3 linked regions of the Rattus norvegicus genome follow. The protein of the gene in region 3 interacts with the protein of the main gene of each other region in a pairwise test. Links are inferred from orthologs where the notes say so. Each region holds a gene or a part of one and is shown on either strand. Other genes may lie near its edges.

What was found.
Region 1: the proteins of Txlna (region 3) and Deup1 interact in binary tests that used the Homo sapiens proteins (3 or more experiments, as listed by UniProt). The two-hybrid records come from large-scale screens. The link is inferred for Rattus norvegicus from reciprocal best matches to the Homo sapiens genes TXLNA and DEUP1.
Region 2: the proteins of Txlna (region 3) and Ccdc146 interact in binary tests that used the Homo sapiens proteins (3 or more experiments, as listed by UniProt). The link is inferred for Rattus norvegicus from reciprocal best matches to the Homo sapiens genes TXLNA and CCDC146.

The regions. Positions count from the first base shown.
Region 1 is NC_086026.1:20,720,147-20,726,162, forward strand, and holds the start of Deup1 (deuterosome assembly protein 1), read right to left. Parts: upstream 3,440-6,016; 5' UTR 3,355-3,439; intron 2,152-3,354; 5' UTR 2,107-2,151; coding exon 2,078-2,106; intron 1-2,077. UniProt on the Homo sapiens protein: Key structural component of the deuterosome, a structure that promotes de novo centriole amplification in multiciliated cells.
Region 2 is NC_086022.1:14,552,659-14,558,848, forward strand, and holds the start of Ccdc146 (coiled-coil domain-containing protein 146), read left to right. Parts: upstream 1-2,751; 5' UTR 2,752-2,850; intron 2,851-5,280; exon of another isoform or gene 5,281-5,367; intron 5,368-6,190. Other genes in the region: protein FAM185A, read right to left, coding at 1,850-2,258. UniProt on the Homo sapiens protein: Essential for sperm flagellum biogenesis and male fertility.
Region 3 is NC_086023.1:147,265,110-147,271,165, reverse strand, and holds the start of Txlna (alpha-taxilin), read left to right. Parts: upstream 1-1,892; 5' UTR 1,893-2,005; intron 2,006-2,455; 5' UTR 2,456-2,461; coding exon 2,462-2,627; intron 2,628-3,324; coding exon 3,325-3,663; intron 3,664-6,056. UniProt on the Homo sapiens protein: May be involved in intracellular vesicle traffic and potentially in calcium-dependent exocytosis in neuroendocrine cells.

The DNA.
Region 1 (6,016 bases), on a different chromosome or scaffold from region 3:
TTTAAGGACCAGTTCTGTTTTTAAATAACCTTGGCTCTTCAGGGCTTAACACTCAGTACAAGGTACTTTGTTTTCAAAGGGGGAATGCAGAGAACCAGCCACAGCCTTTGCAGGGCTGAGACGATATGCTACACAAGCACAAGCTTGAGTCTTCCAGTCTGTCTTACTGTACCCCAGTGTCACAGTCACTTTAGGGGCTGAACACACGCTTAGTCTGACCTCGCTGTGCTGTGAACTCTAATCAGGCTGCCCCTCTCACCTCCACGTGATCAATTTCCAGTGTAGAAAAAAAATCCAGGCATTGGAGCCAGATGTATTTCAATTCAACCGCTGCCTCCTTCACTAATCACTTTTCTACCCTGATGTAAATTCTAGTTCCCGTCTCCACCTGTCTGAGGCTCAGTGGGGGAGAGTTGCCGAGATGCAGCAATGGTTACTCTCCACCCTTCACCTCTCAGTGGCGTTGGCTATGGCTGGGCAGGGCCATTTCATATTGAAAAAACTAAGATTGGAAATGCACTGAGTTAACCTAATGAGCCGGAGCACCGACAGCTCAGCCCTCAGTGTCCTGTGGTGAAGGAGACGGTCCACCCTCACAGTTTACTGCTGACCGTGAAGGAGACCGTCCACCCTCACAGTTCACTGCTGACTGTGCATTTGAGGCCACCAGCGTTGTCAGAGTGAATCCACAGAAGATAGATTAGAGATTAGAAGATGGTTTCCACCATCCTCTTCAGAGCTTCACCCAAGCGTCAGGTGATCGGGCAAGCTGAGCAGTCCTGAGTCCAGCGTCAACCATGTATGGAATTCCTGATCTATAGCTAGGCATGTGCTACCCAGCTGGAGAGCACATTTCCGAGCCTTTTTTTTCACGACTCCGTGTGACTGAGTTCTGGCCAATGTTAATGAACACAGGGGAGCCCGACATCTCTAGGCAGACTTCTAGAAGGAAAGTCTTTCCTGCCCTTGTTTCCCCCTCACTAAGACCAGGATGGAAAACAGTCACAATGCTGGAGCTAGAACCGGAGCAACCACTCACTCTGACATAGAGATGGGTTTGCATGTTACTTAAGGCTGTGCACTTGGTGTGCATGTGTGTGCGTGTGCGTGCGTGTGTGTGTGCCTGTGCATGTGTGTGTGTGTGCGTGTGTGTGTGTGTGCCTGTGCATGTGCATGTGTGTACATGTGCGTGTGTGTGTGCATGTGCGTGCGTGCATGTGTGCGTGCGTGTGTGTGTGTGCCTGTGCATGTGCGTGTGTGTGTGTGTGTGTGTGTGTGTGTGCGCGTGTGTGTGTTTCAGGGGTTCTGGCTCTACTATAATGTATTCTGTTTTCTTGTTGAGAATAAGGGCTATGGCCAGGAGATCGGACTCGAAACGTAGTCTTAGTTACTCATGCTTCTCTCCTTTCCTTTACCTGATGTCAGAGTCACAGGGGAAGCAGAGTCACTGGAAGTGAGACGCTAGAGTTGTGATTGGGTCAAAAGCAGCCACACTCAGGACTGGGCTCTGATGTGAGTGCCTCTGCTGCCTCAGTGTGAGTCCAGCAGAGGCAGAAGGATAGTGAACTCTTCATGGTGCTGATGCAGGAGAAGAGGCAGGACAAATAATTGTGAAGCGGAATTTGGCCCATTTCCTATGGTGAATGTTCTCCAAACCCCATTCTAAAATATCCAATTCTTGCTGTGCTATGGAAATATATGCATCGTGGGGCTGTGTTTATATGTTGAGAAAATGTGGCCAGTCTTATGTAGGAGCAGAGAAACCACTCACCCCAGCAAGAAAAGGCCAGGAAGTGCTGTGCTGTGGACATGTTAAGGGCTGAGGAGGCCAGCGTGGGTCCCCAACCTGTGATGCTGACGTATCAGTCGGGAAGCGCTGTCTTCCAGGGTATAGACTCAACATCAGAAAGATTCACACGAATAGAGACTTCATAACTTACTTGAGATTTTCTGTCTATTTACCCCCTCCCCCAATCAGCACATCCTATTTTTAACAATTCATTTCAGAACTCACGCTTCCTCCAGGACTTCTGGGCATAAAGATGAGCTAATTAAATAGAATTTCTGCAGCACTTACCCTGCCGTAGTATGGGCTTGGTTCTCCATGCCAAGAAATGTTTACATCTGACTTGGTACTTACTGATATTTAATCTGTGAGGAGGGAAATTATTTAGAATTATAAAATGCTTACACATATTAATATAAGATATGATATTTTTGCTGTTGGCAGCCACTTAGTATAGGTTTTGTGAGCATGGAAGCTCTAGCTTTGACAAGTACAGAAGGCCCACGGTGGGGGTGTGGGTGTGGGTGGGGGTGTGGGTAGGGTGTGGGGGTGGGGGGTGGGGGGTGGGGAGGTTTCTTTGGCTTGAAGTTTCCACACAAGTAGGAATACTGGCTCAGCATTTGTTTGCAATATTTGGTACTGGCTGAAACCAGAAAGCATTCCTCCTTAACTCAAAGGCAGCTAGGTGTCAGTGGCCTTTTCAGAGTGCTCAGTTCCTAATTCTTGCTCTGAGAAGTGTTGTCTAGAAGCCCTTGGAGTTTACATCTTAGCGACTCCCTATCCTCTGCCTTGGAGTATATTCTTTTGTTGGCTTTTCTTGACCTTTTAAAGGAGTAGATAAAGCAGGAGATTTAGTACAAAAGTCCAAGAACAGGAGCTGGACAACTGGTCCAGCAGTCATTGAGCTTAGAGTGCAGAGAGAGGACCCCAGCACTGGTCGGGGAGCTCAAAACCACCTATAACTCTAGCTCCAGGGCAATCAGATGCCCTCTCCCTCCCTGGCACCTACATCCCTCCCAACCCTCCCCATATCACCCCCTACACCTCCCCATACCCCCTCACACCACCCCTACAACACAGACACACTGTTGTCCCATTAGTGGATAAACTTATAAGGATAAATGAACAAAGTGGTAAATTGGACCTAACCTTACTAAGAAGTATATGAACTAATTAAGTACCTGAGAAAGAGAAGGAGAGGGGTAGGGAAGGAAAAAGAGAAGGTGTTGAAGAGGATGAAGAGGAGGAGGAAAGAGAGGAGAGGGTAAAGGGAGAGAGAAGAAGAGAGTGGGAGAGGGGGAGGTGAACAGGATGAATATGAAGAAGGGGAAGGAAAGGAAGGAAGGGGAAAGGGGATAGGAGGAATCTCCATTCAGACCGTTTAGCACCACAGGAAATTGCAGCAGTGGGGCAGACACTGGAGGTGACAGGAGACAAAACTAGATCAAAAAGTTCAGACAAAAGAGGGAAACTGAGGCACACTCCCAGGGTCTGCTGGAGGCAGTGGAAGCCAGCTGCTGCCTAGGGGAGGGACAGGTCCTGGGTTCAGGGAGTCAGCCGCCTGTTACCTGTACTGCTGTCTGGAGAGGTCTGCCCTGGCCTGGGCTGTGGGTCCCGCCCGCAGCACCCCGCCCGGCCGGCACCGTTGGCCTCTGGTCCCCAATGGGTTGCCATGGAGACGCGGCCTCCGCACCGGTCTGCTTCCCTCCAGCCGGAACTCCCTAGTACTGGCGCGGTCAGTGCCCAGTCCAGTGCCTCCAAGATCCGCCCATCCTGGCTAGCTGCGGCCCGCCGCACCCAGGGGCGCGAGAGAAGCGCGGGAGGACACTGCCCAATCAGAGAGCTGGTGGGCCACCAGGAGCGCCACAGAGACTGGGATACCTAACTCTGGGCCTCAGCCCTCTTCCCAGAGGAAACCAGGGTTGGGAGGGAAAGAACTCCAGGCAAAGGCCCTTTGAATTCACCTTAGTTAACTTCCAGCTGGGAATTGGTTAGGCTCACTCCTCTGTCACTGTATTCGCACCATTTAAACCTCTCTCTTCCTCACAGTTCTCTGAGTCCTTGGAAAACTGCCAGTTAGGTGGATTAGGCTGTATTGGGAACAAGGGAGTAGCTTCTAGTGGTGGGAACCAACCCGGATCCTCGGTAACTGATTCCAAATTCTTTCCTTTTCAGCCACATTCCAACCATAATTGATGACAGAATCTCAGTCTGACCCTGTTGATTTCACTTAGAAAATGACGTTATATACCATAATGCATATATATGTATATGTATGTATATATACACATATACACACATATGTAACAGAATACACACATACAGTATAGAAATCACAATACATTGATACATGTACTATTTACAAGTTATATATAATATACATACGTGTATATATACTTGGCACAAAATACAGACAATAAAGAAATCACACATGCACTGATACATGTATGTTATTATATACATTATATAATTACATATTAATTTATTATATATTATATGTATTATATTACATATTACATACTACATACTGCATAGTACATATTACACATTACACATTATATATTATATATTATACACACACACAGGTGTGACAGCAAGCATGTGAATTGGGGGATGCTGCTGGGCCTACTTTAGGAACATAACTGTTTCTCAGCATGTTCAGCTGATTGATTGCTAGTTCTTAAAGCCTGTCATTTGCATTCTTTTGACTCATGTCACTTTGCTACTTTAACATGGCCGTCAATTTTAATCCAGCCCACAGTCCTCCATCCAGGTTTGCCCGGTGCTCAGATGAGTCATGTGGAGTAATTCAGGAAGCTAGTTCTGCTTAGTGCAGTTCTGACAGTGACTGGGTGAAGCATGGTCATCTCATCTTATCCTGAAACTTCATTATTCTGGGAAAGTTAGTCACACCCTTTATTCTTGCCTAAGCTGAAATACACCATGTATTTTTCCTGTCAAGAAATGTAACCATCACTGTTGCTCTATTACTTTTGGGTGTTTTTGTTTTTTGTTTTTATTTTTTTATTTATTTATTTTTTGAGACTGTTTCTTGGTGTAGCCTTGGTTATCATGGAACTCACTCTGTAGACCAGGCTGGGCTCGAACTCAGAGATCTGCCTACCTTTGCCTCTTAAGTATCGCATGTGATTAAAGGTGTGCGCCATCATGCCTGCTATTTACTTACTTTGACTGTTGGTATCAGGGGAAGTGCACATGAATGGTTCACTGTAGGTGTCAGAGGACAAAGTGTAGAACTCTGCTCTCTCCTACGTTTTGGTTCTTAGGCGTCATGCTCATATACTCAGGCTTGGTAGCACATGCGTTTACCAGCTGAGCCACCAGATGAAAGTGAGCAGGAAGAACAGAAAGTGAAGCAGAAAGAAAACTTCATGATGGTCCAAGATGTCCAAGACTGTACCCGCTTACAGCTCCTCCCTGTTACTAAAGCCTCAGGGGCACCAGTGAGACACGGGCAGTAGGAGATGCTCAGAGCTTTGGAGGACATCAGCAAACTCAGACTTAAAATAAAGGATTCATTGGAGGATACATCTAGTTCAAGAACAACTGACATGTGACTTCAGCTTCAGGGCGTCTCAAAATCTCCCCAGAAAATAGGGTTAGGTTTCAAATATTCAGGAAACCATATCTGTAGGCATCTAGGTCTTGTACAGGTGATGGCTGATTTCCTATTTTCAGATGAATGGATGTGGGAGGGGTTTCTAAAGCCTGAGAGGATAGCTACTGTAATGGACTTTAGGAAGTTGTTTATGTGCAGACTAGAGCTGCCTGCAGCGGTAGTAGATTATTCTGCTCTAATCTCCCTGCAGCAGCAGGAGCGCAAGTTTCTTGCTACCGGCCCCATGCCCTGAATTTCTAAATGAAAGACACACACACACACACACACACACACACACACACACACACACACCACACCACACACACACACATGCACACAGCACACAACACACACAACACATACACACACACAACACACACAACACACTCACAACACATACACACAACACATACACACACACTTGCACACACACCGCACAACACACACACACACCACATACACACACAACACATACACACACAACACATACACACACACTTGCACACTCACACCGCACAACACACACACAACACATACACACACAACACATACACACACACAACACATACACACACAACACACAACGCACACACAACACATACACATACAAC
Region 2 (6,190 bases), on a different chromosome or scaffold from region 3:
GCTGGAGTACAGAGACCTACACTATTGTCCTGCTAACTCGGTGTGATAAAACGCTGACCAAAACCATTTGGTGAAGGAAAGGTTCATCTCCCAACTTACAGTCCATCACACAGGAAAGTCAGGCACAAACTGAAGAAGGATCAGAGGAACACCGTCTTGCTCGCCATGAGTCTCTCAGCTTGACTTTTTCTTTTTAATGCAACCCAGGACCAACCTGTGTGACTGGGCCTTCCCTAATCAATCATTAATCAATGCTTCTCGATTAATGCAGATTTGCCTACAGGTCAATCTGATGAAGGCATTTTCTCATTGAGGTTCCCTCTCCCAGGTGACTCTAGCTTGTGTCAAGCTGACAAACTAACCAGCACAATTATGTTCCCCCAAAGCAAGTGATTGGGACCCAATGCTACAATCTTAATTGTTACAGTATGAATTTCCTCAACTGCACCACAATGGGTTAAATGAGCAACAATACACTCGAGAGGAAAAGAGAGTACAAAAGCCAAACACTGATACAAACAGAACTGCCCAACTGAGTCCTGTCACTAGCAAGAAACAAGGCAGACCTGACAACTATACGGACAAGGAAGGGATCTGAAGCACTTGCTCTTTGGGAAGTAGGAGAGGCAATTAAGGCTCGAAGCAGCAGCAGTAATGGGACACCCACTGGGTCACTCTATCACAAGCTGGAGGAACAAACACCAATACGATCAGCTATGGAGATCTGAGGGGCCGATGGAATCGAGGCACTACACTGGGAACAGGCCTCTCGCCCTGAAAAGCAGCAATGAGGTGATTTGGGAGAGCCAGCAGGGGTAATATCCATCTCCCAGGAGCTGTTTTAAGTTTTGCTTCCCTTTCCTTTGATACCCAGCTTACTCTGCACCGTGGTAAAAACCCAACAGCACCTTCAGATTACTATATTTTGGAGGTATGGTCTCTTATCCATTTAGGCTAGTTGGGAGTTGAGACGAAATAAAGCACAATTAACGGCTGAGCCATTCCAGTCAGCTCCAATCCTAGCCCTGCCTATTGTATTTAAGGTGGAAAGGCATCTAAGAAAGCAAATTTCATAACGCCACCATGCACGGGGCCTTTTGTTTGTTCAGTTACACTGTGTGTCTTCTGATACTTCCTTCATTTCTTCGTCCTCATCTGAAGTGGGGACAAACGCATCCACCCTACTACGTGACAGTGAGGGTTAATAAAAAGAACCTTATAAGAAAGAGGTAAATGGTGCTATTGGTATCAACAGCAACACCACCCTTCAGTTCCAAGAAGAATGAGAGCCTCGAGAAACCTTTCTAGAAAAATATGTGTGCTCAGCGGTTTGCATCTGGGAAATAATGGGACGCAGACACCTAAGAAACGTTTTGCAGGTACCATAATTAATTTTCCCAGGCAGCCTTAAATATGTGTCTTGCTTCAAAGTTTGTTATTCCCAGAGAATTTACTCATGCCTACATGAATACACATACTTTCCTGGGAGCCTGTTGGAAAGCAAGTATTTTTTCCTACGTTAGCTGGACGCCTCTATACATAGAGTTGACTAGGGACCAGAGCCCCAAGATGTGGACTACCAAACCACTGGATAGTTATCAGGAAACCTCAACACTGAACGATGCTAATGGCTGTGACAAAAAAGAACATGGGGCTCCACAATGTAATTAGATTCAGATTGTTCCAATACAAGCTTCCATTCAGTTTTAATTTTCCTCCGGAATCGGGAATCTAACGCTTAAACACTACTCAGGAACCCAGGAGTGTGGCTTTAGAAAAGAGATCCCCGGAAAGGGCCAACTAGGTGAGACGGTATTTTGCGACCCAAACCCGTTTTCACATCACTTGCCAAATTTGACGGGTGCGTTCACCTCCACCGACGCCTCGGGATCAATGTCGTCTGACAGAATGGCCATCTCCTGCAGAGCAGCGTCATACTTGACCTGCAGGCTGTCTAGGCCACGCGTCCCGCTCCCCACGCCGCTCACCGCCACTAGCACGCGGTCGCCGTCCGGGTGCGCGAGGGGATCCAGGGGCCTCACGGACAGGTGGCATGGGAGCCGCGCCCTCAGCCGCCCAAACGGGCTCACCCTCAGCGTCCACTCCCTCAGATCCCCGCGTGCCAGGCCGGCCCCAGGGTTCGCGGGCACCGAGCCCCGCCGCTCGGCCCCACCGGAGCCGCATGTCCGGGTCCCCAGAGCTCCGAACAAGGCGCCCGCCCGCACCCGGGACGCGCAAGGAGGGAGGCGGCCGAACATGCTCTCCCTCGGAACCCTTCAGCCTCGGCTCGCGGGTCCTGAGACAGCCCGAAACACGAGCTGCCTCGGGCCAGTCAGAAAGGCGACCGTAAGCACGGTTCCGCTGAGGAAGAACGAGCCAAGTCCCAGCACAGCACTTAACGACTTAAATCTCAGCCTCAAAACGATGCCGGTAGGAAAATTAAAACGTCAAAGCGTCCTGTTGAAGCCCTGACCCTGACTAGCCACCTATTTCCGCCCCTTTGGCGGAGGCCGTCGGGAGATGTAGTTTTAAAGGAGCCAAACATTGAGGGGTTCTGGTAGCTTTGAAACTACATATCCCATGAGACAATGCGACGAATAGGCAGAGTGACAAGAGCCGATTGGTAGAGAAGTCCCTGTTGCGTTCCTGTTGCTTCAAGCCCATTGGCCAAGAGATCAGAGAAAGAAAAAAAAAAAACCTTAATCTAACTGACCAATGGAAAGGTAATATTTCAGCTGTGTGGTTACTTTGGATACGGAGAACGCGACTCTGGAGAGGGTGGAGTTTTGAAGTGAGACCCCAGAGACCAAAACACACGGAGAAAAATAAGAATCAGGACAAAAAGAAAGGGTAAGAAGCACCATGTTTATAGATGGGAATTAGATTCAAAGTTAGGAATACCCTCTTTAGATGGCTAGAACCAAACATCACCAAACTAATGTGGGTCCCTTGGAATAGAGAATCCCCCTAGCAAGAGAGGATAGACACATTCTGTTGTTTCCTCCCTTCTCAGCCCTTTAAGGAAACTACCTCTTAGAAAATACTAGATTGGAAAAGTGTTAGAATCCTGGCTCTTTCTTAATTGTAAGTGACCTTAGGTCAGTCATTGGTTGCCTTAGGGTCTTAACTGTTTGCATGTAAAATGACGTTTTTCTTGCATCGTGTTAAAGGTTTCTTTTTTCTTTTTTCCCACAAGTATCAAATGAAACAATGGACAACAAAGATGTACGGTCTACAAAACGATTAAAGTATTTTAGGAATGACATATTTCTAAGTTGCTAAGAGATTTGGAGACAATTGAACTTGTTTAGAGAGCAATCTAGAGCTCTTTCCCTGCAACTGATCCTTGGCCTTAGTGATAAAATAAAATCTCTCTCTCTCTCTCTCTCTCTCTCTCTCTCTCTCTCTCTCTCTCTCTCTCCCTCTCTTCCTCCTCTCTAAGATAATAAGACATGTTAGGAGATGTCAGATTATTTTCATGGCCTTAGTTTTGATATATAGACTGTGCTAAATAACTCTAGAAGTTAACTCTTTTCTGTTTATTATTCAGTAGGCAGTAAAGATAATGGAAAATGTGGGCTGTGGACATGATTTCATCCATACTTGCCTACTCTTCTCCCCCTTTCTCCACAGTCTTCAAATAATTCCCTAATTCCCTCACATACAGATTTAACTAATTCTAAGTCTAATGTGGTGGTGTTCACTTGTAGTTTTTCGGAATTTGGGAAGTCTAAGCAGGAGGATCTCAGATCTGAGGTCCACCTGGACTATATACTGAGAGCTCTGTCTCAAATAGAGTACAAAATAAATAAATAAAATGATACCTTTAAAGATTGGAACTCTCAGCCAAACATGTGACCCTCTCAATTCTTGGAACCTAGAATGATAGAGCGATAGGTATAAAGTCCTTGCCAGTGTCCGTGTTATTCTCTTAGTGACGACTATGGTAGTGGTGATGGCACTGTGGCAGCCCAGCCCTTCTGTCAGCCGTCTGAGAAACCCCCTGTCCTTAAGGACTTCCACTGAGGAAAAACCTACTCTTGACTCTGCAGGAAAAAAAATGTTGGGAGAAGCTAGTGTGAAAGAGGGTTGATTCAAAAGAGATTCTAAACACAGGTTTAAGCAGCACCGGGGTTGGTAGGGGTGACTGCTCACTCAGGGAGAGAAAGAGTCATATTCAAGAGCACAGGTGTAAACCTCTCAGGCTCTCTTGAGCTTGCCCTTAAGCGCCTTGGCAGAAGTCTTACAGATTCATTCTTTTAATGACTCTCAAGTTATGCCTCAAAGGATTTCTAGGAAACTTCTTTAAAACCTTTTCCCTCCCCCTTTTCAATAAGTGTGATTATAGGATAGCTCTAGAGATGTCTTGGATTGGATGGCAATGCTAAAATAAAACCATGTGTCACAAGAATTATAAAAGGGATTAAGACATGTCCTTTACTGGAAATAGGGTTTTTGGTAAGATTTCTAGAAAATTCCTGGTGTATAGCTGGGAAAGAAGAAAGGCCACATATGTTTAGGTCTTACATGTGATTCCTTGCTCCTTCAACAACCTAAGTTGGAAATATCACTATAAAAGAGATAGTGACTTTCTATTGGTGACCATCATAGATAATATTGTTTCTGCTGGTGACAAGCACTGCCAGGCTCTAGAATGAAGGCTTCTTTCCTTCCCAGGTCTCCATCGTTTCCTGTGTTTGCCTCCTGCCTCAGGAGGCTATAACACAGATCTCATGATAAGCAGGAGCCCACTCAGTGAGTCACACCATTGGCTTGGGTTCCATGTGGACGTATATACTCAGATTAGTCTTCAAATTAGCTTTTTATGAAAACACAGAGACATACTTTTTGACGTTTGAAAAAGGCACGAGCAAGTTGAAACTGCACTCTGATTTGCTGTGGAAGTGCTGTATATATTTGGACTAAATATGCACCCTTAATAAATTACCCTGTTTCTATAGTAATTTTTCCTTTTCTGAGAAAGATTAAATGAATAGAATTGGCCACTGAGCCATAATGATATCTGTGACATAGTCATTATTCCATCACTTCCGAATAAAGAAACTAAAACTTGTTGAAGAATTACCTTCCTGGTTTTACGAGGTTGGAACCTGGAAATCTGATGGAGAGTAAGAATGGTGTAAGACATTAACGTTACTAACGCCCGACAACCTGACAAGTATCAGATTCGTCTACATTTAAGTGTCTGATAGAGTTTTCACAGCCTGTTCCCACGCATTGTCTCACTGTTAAGGACTTATTCTTCTCCCTGCACGACAGCTGAAGAAACAGATTGAGAAACATAAGATGAAGCTGTTATGGCCCCTAAAACCGGTTTTTGAGGGATGAAGGCGTCAAATTACAAACGTACGAGTTTTTTGTTTGTTTGTTTGTTTGTTTGTTTAATAGGACTGCTTATTATTAGCTATTTCTCTGCTGGGTGAGGCCAATTTAAGCCAGATTAGAGTATATTAAATGCAGGTTTATTGGAAAGCTGCTCTTGGGCGGGCAAGTTCATTGGCCCCAAGAAAGGAGGCCAGGGAAGTCCATGGGAAGGGAGAGAGAGAAGAAGGGGGAGAGAGAAAGAAAGAGCACAGAAGAGAGAGAGAAGGACAGCAAGGAAACCTAAATGCCAGGATTATATAGGGAGGAGCCCTTAGGGGAAGGATAGCACAGCCCCTGGGCTGGCAAGTTCAGGGTTGGAGGCAGGGTACGCCAGGTGGGGACTGAGGGATTCTGGGAGAACCTGGAGGCCAGGTCTGCTTTGATATGTAAAATATCAAATGTAAAATATAAGGCCTCAGTCCCTTGTCCTGAGGTCTGAAACCACACACTTAGAGTTTGAGAGCTTATTACTCCCCAATAAGAGAGTAATACTTAAATAAATTTTATATTTGTAATATCATATAGCAATTAAAAAATAATATCCTGAAATAATCCATAATATAATATTGGGTAAAATAGCACATACTAACCTTTATGCATAGTCCGATCTCAATTCTGTAGCAACAATAATAAATTTAGTATAGAATCATATCACAGAAACAATTCTGGAAGGACGTACACCACTTTATAAATGACGGTTATCTCCGAGCAGTGAGGTGGGACGATTACATCTTTTGCGTGTTATCAGCAGTGATCACGTTTGGCATCTTTACTAGGGAGAAACAGTAAGGACTTCTTCCTGTGT
Region 3 (6,056 bases):
GATGCTACCTCTTTAGAGATTTCCAATATGTTTATTGGGAAGCAAGCAGGGCATTGGTTTCCAGATACCTTTAATCCAAACCTTTTTGAGATACAATTCCCTCTGTAAATGTAAATTTTTTAATGCTTTGAGCTTTGATCACTCTGGGTAAGTGCTCTGCCACTGAGTTTATTATACAATATTGCCTTTCGAATTTACATCTGAACAGACAACACTATTCTGAGTCCGTTTGACAGACCTATTACAGAAAAATGGACACCATTTAAGGACCCTAAAACAAAGTCCAATTAGCACAGTTTGCAACATGCTCTACCCCACAGCCTGAGTCAAGCCTCTGAGACTGCAGCATTTAGCCAACAGTAATTTCAACACTTCATGGCTAATGTTATAACAGAAGCCTAGCCAGACCTAAGAGAACTAGTATAAAATGTAGGCTCTTAAAGTGACCTTGAGCAGGGACTTAAAATGCTTTGTCTCTAGGTGTGGTGCTAATCCTAGCACTCAGGGAGCATAGCAGGCAGAACTTTGTGAGTTTCTAGGACAGCTTGATCTATATAGCGAGTTCCAAGTCAGGCAGCACTAGAAAGCAAGACCTTATCAAACATAGCAAACTCCAAACAAGTAAATAATTGAAATCACAATTGTGTTTGTTTTTGAATGATCTAAGCATCGAAAATCCTAATGAACAAAGACAAAATCTAACTTTCTAAAGCATTAGCCCATGTAGGAGCACGTGGTACTTTGCAGAAAGTGGGGCAGGGCTGAGTGGGAGTTTACCAATCCGCCTAAAGCCAAACCTCCTTGCTACAATCCCCTCCTGAGGATCCAAGCTGGTGATGTCAGAAGGCGGGGCATACTTGGTCTCAAAGCCTGTGATGGCGGAGAATGGTTAAGATGGGTTTTAGTTGGATCTGAGGTAGAAGCCAGCATAGTCAAAGACTAACAGCCAGGGCTACACGGAGAAACCCTGACTGGGCTGGGTGGAATGGAATGGGGCACTGGGGAGAAGATTAAGAAAAGGATGGGTGGTGTCAGGCTTCCAGGTTTGAATCCGCAATAAGCACACAGTATTGATGGATGGAGCCATAGATTATTTACCCTTTACCTGGGCATGGTGGCCCGTGCCATTAGTCCCAGTCTTGGAGAGACAAAGACAGGCAGAACTCTTGAATTCAAGGCCAATTTGATACACCTAGAGAATTCGGGGCCTGCCAAAGCCACACATGAGACATTGTCTCTAACAAACAATAGTACATACTTTTTTCTTTTAATTAGCCTTTTCCGTACTGCCCTATATTTCCCAGATCTCTGAGTATAATGTTCTTTCTCTGAGTAATTATGAGGACCAAGCTATTACATACGAGGGAAGAACACATTGTTTGGATTATTATAAACCTTCTACTGGAATGGAGAGGGGAGGGATACTAGGCACATAACAAATTAGTGGTTTGGGCGTGAGATAAATATCTCCTAATTCACAGTTTACCCTTCTTTCTCTCTTCCACTCGCAAGTCCTCAGAGATCCTAAAATAGTCATACATGTTCATAAGGGAGTGTATGAAAAAAAATCCAGACTGCCAAAGTTTAAGGGCCAATCATAGTTTCTGTACTAGGAAGGAGGCTGACACGAATCTCTAGACCGAATGACATAATTTCGGACCCTCAGGGTATTTGGCTCCTAAGCTTTTCGGTTGCATCTCGGGAGTTGTGACCTGCCGCAAGGCATGAAGGGACTCGTAGTTTTTCCCACTCCCGCCTCCAAAGCCGCCTTGGCCTCTTTTCCCAGCAAGCTCCGCGCCAGCGTTTGCTGTTGATTGGCTGCCGCAGGAGAGGGTGGTCCAGCTGGCAGCAGTTACCCAGGTTTCCGGTGCTCGGCCAGAGTCGGGGACGCGGTCGGACGTCCGCGGTGAAGTATGTCTTTGGGCTGTACACGGGACGAGCTCTTCAGAGGGTCCATGACCCAGGACGCGTTAGCCGCGGAGGAACAACTAATTCTGTGGACGGGGTGGGGAGAGTTGTGTGCTGCCGTGCTGCGCATGCGTACTTCGGGTCTAGAGGGCGCGTGGGGTGTGGGTGTCTTCTGTGTACGCGCGCGCGCGCGCGGGAATCCCACGTGGGACCTGGTGGGGCGGGGGGCCGGTCGGGACTGGAGCATCCCGCCACGTCAGTCTGCGGCTCTGAGCCAATCCCGCGCTCCCGCTGCCGAGAGGGAGCCGTGTGGTGCTGAGAAGTGGCATTCAGGAGAAGGGAGGCCTCTTCCTTCCTTCACTCTGTGCTGGTGCAGCTTCTCGGAAACCTTGCCCGGGACCGTGAAGTCTCAGGCGAAGGCCGACCAGTTTGTTTGAAGCTTAGAGCTTCAGATTTGGAGATTTCTCATCTAGGTTGTGAAGAATTTTGAAGTCTAGAAAATAGCAGCGGTGTCCGTAAAGGATCTACCCCTTTTCTGGCCTTGCAGATCACAATGAAGAACCAAGACAAAAAGAATGGGCCTGCCAAACACTCCAACCCGAAGAACAGCCCTGGGCAACGGGAAGCAGGACCGGAGGGAGCTCATGGACGGCCCAGACAGACAGCTCCTGGTGCGGAAGCTGAAGGTTCCACAAGCCAGGCTCCTGGGAAGACCGAGGGTGTGTGCCAGCTCTGCTTTTCCAGTGGGCAGAGGGAGGAGTTTCTGGTACTTGCATCTATCTGAGGCCAGTATTTACCCAGGAAGGAGGAACTATAGAATGAAACAATGCCCATTCTGTGATCCTCATGTTTCCTAGGGAGGTGATGAAGCTTTCCACTCTTAGCCCTGGAACGGAACCTTGGGGGCATGCTCTGACTGGTTTAAACCAAATGACAATCAAATGAGGCGCCCCATAAGCAAAGTCATATTCCCACTTGCCAGTGCCCGGTGATTAATTGTCCTTCATAAGACAGAGCGTCTGCTACACGTCAGTCGTCCCTCTTGTAGGGGTGCTTTACACAGTTGTCTTTGATGGTCATAACAAGTATGTTTGGGTGTTAGAAATAATTGTTTCGTCTTATAAAAACGTTTTATACGACTTAGGGTTTAAAAAAATTAAATTGAGGCCAGGCATAGTGGCCCTCACCTTTGTTCTCAGAACCCAGAAGTCAGAGGCAGGTAGATCTGAGTTTGAGGTCATCCTCATCCTCATAGTGAGTTCCCAGACAGCCAAGGCCCTGTAGAGAGAGCCTGTCTCAACTGAATAAATAAATGGAACGTTTAACCCACACAAGTGGTGTTTGTCTGGGCTTAAAGAAGAAGAAAACCCAAGGGAGCGGTGTAACCACCTAACGTTCACTGTCTTCATCTTGTAGGCGCTCGAGCTAAAGCATCTCAGTCTGGGGCCCTCTGTGATGTCTCTGAGGAGCTGAGCCGACAGTTGGAAGACATTCTGAGTACATACTGTGTGGACAACAATCAGGGAGGCCCAGGTGAGGAGGGAGCTCAGGGGGAGCCCACTGAGCCTGAAGACACAGAGAAGTCCCGAACCTATGCAGCCAGGAATGGGGAGCCTGAACCGGGCATTCCAGTCGTCAATGGCGAGAAAGAGACCTCTAAGGGGGAGCCTGGCACAGAAGAGATCCGAGCAAGTGACGAGGTTGGAGACCGAGACCTTCGAAGGCCACAGGAAAAGAAGAAAGCCAAGGGTCTAGGTGAGGGGGAGCTCCTGCTGACGGGAGGGAGTGAACACTTGCCATCTCATGGGCTAGCCTGCTCTGTCTGGACACAAGAGAATCTGCTTTTCAAGACAGTACATCCCCCCAGTTTAGTCAAAGATGGGGTCATCCCATTGAGCTGTTCAGATCACTCACTTGTGCAAGGCCTCCTGGCCTTGGGAGCCAAGTGGAGGCAGGAATCCAACTAGCTTTCTCACTGGGAATATGGAAAACCGGAGGGAGGCCTAAGTGCTCGACAACACCACTTTCAACCTGCTGTTTGACTTTGGGCATGTTTATTCTCCACTCCTAGAGAGGGTCTTAGTTTCCCTGTTTGTACAGCAATAGAATTGGGCTACACCAAGGTTGAAATATCAACATGGACCAGGTAAGCCACAGACCTCTTCAGAATCAAGAAAGGGCCTTCTTGATCTGAAAACCTGACTCCTACCTGGTTAGTCCCCCAGTCGCATCTGACCAGCTGAATAATTGGTAACCAAAATAATAGAAAGTAAGCAGAGGCCTCCATTGGTTGGATTTGCCATCTCCGTGTTACCTTTTGGGCCTCCCAGGGCTGACAGCTCAGAACCTGGTCTGTGCTGAGTACAGTGGAACCCAAGGGAGACAGCTGTAAGGCTTCCCGGCTGAGGTAAAGCAAGGCAGTGGCAACCTGGCACCATGGCGTACACCTTTAACCTCAGTACCTGAGAAGCAGGAGCAAGTGCATCTCCTGAGTACCAGACCAGCCAGCTGCATAATGAAACCTTATCACAAACAAAGGACAGGAGTGATGGGACAATGTGAAAATACGAACTTAGAACCTAATGCAAACCAAATATGGTAGTGTATGCCTCTAATGGGGAACTAGGAGGAACAGAAGCAGGAAGATGCTGAGTTCAAAGCCAGCTTGGGCTACATAGCAATACCCTCTCTTTGTGTGTGTGTGTGTGTGTGTGTGTGTGTGCGCGTGTGTGCGCGTGCGCGTGTGTGCGTGTGTGCGCGTGTGTGCGCGTGCGTGCGCGTGCGCTACTGTAACCATGTCATTGGCCCTCCGCCCTCATTTTGTTGTGTCTTAAAGACAGACTTCTTGCTTTTTTTCCCCCCTAAAGACACAGGGTCACATATGAAGGAGACAAGCTTTTTTTTTTTTTTTTTTTTTTTTTTTTTTTTGGTTCTTTTTTCGGAGCTGGGGACCGAACCCAGGGCCTTGCGCTTCCTAGGTAAGCGCTCTACCACTGAGCTAAATCCCCAACCCCCAAGCATTTTTTTTTAAAGCTTTATTTATTTATTCCATGTATGTGAGTACACTGTCACTGTCTTAGGACACACCAGAAGAGGGCATCAGATCTCTTTACAGATGGTTGTGAGCCACCATGTGGTTGCTGGGAATTGAACTCAGGACCTCTGGAAGAGCAGTCAGTGCTCTTAACCACTGAGTCATCTGTCCAGGCTGTAATACATCCTCTTTATAGTCTTATCAGACATCCAGATTGATGTCCCATCCTTGCAATTTTGATTCCTTATCTTTGCAATAAATATGTATGTGCACCTAACTTCTGGGATGTCAAGTCCTCTGGTATCTACTGAGGAGTATATAGCCAGATTATACAACAGTTACATTTTAGTCCAAAAAAATTGAATGCTTGAAATATAAGCAATGAAAAAATGCAGACTTTGCTGCAACAGGTGAGCCCAGGTTCCTTGCTAGGCAGTTTTGGCCTAATACATAGGACTCCTCACTCAGGCTCTGGTCCCATCTCCCCTCCATACCATAACAGGGCATCTCGTCCACCCTGAAGTCTCAGGCACCCACTCAGCAGGATGCCACAGCTACAGAGCAATGAGCATTCCTGGACAGCCCAGTGAGGCTACTGTTTTTTTGTTTTGTTTTGTTTTAAAGATGTATTTATTTATTATGTGTAAGTACACTGTAGCTGTCTTCAGACACACCAGAAGAGGGCATGATCTCATTACAGATGGTTGTGAGCCACCATGTGGTTGCTGGGAATTGAACTCAGGACCTCTGGAAGAGCAGTCGGTGCTCTTAACAGCTGAGCCATCTCTCCAGCCCAAGACATGCATGTTAAATGTAACTGTAGTTATGTCTGTTGACAGGAGTTTGGCTACTTCCTCCAGGGACATCAGACAGTAGCCCTAGGTTTATCAATAGACTTGCCTTTCTCCTGTTGATAATGTCTTCAGATAGGTTTTTGTCTCCCTGGCAGTGCTTCCCAAAGAGGTTGGTCTGTTGTGACGAGCATTTGTTAGTAGCATTGCGGACAGACACTACTCAGGTTGCGGTGGCACTGGGCACTGAAGCTGCGGGGTTGAGCTGACTGCAATTCTTCATGAAGCACTGCTGGTGTAACAGGAAAACTACCTTAGCCCTC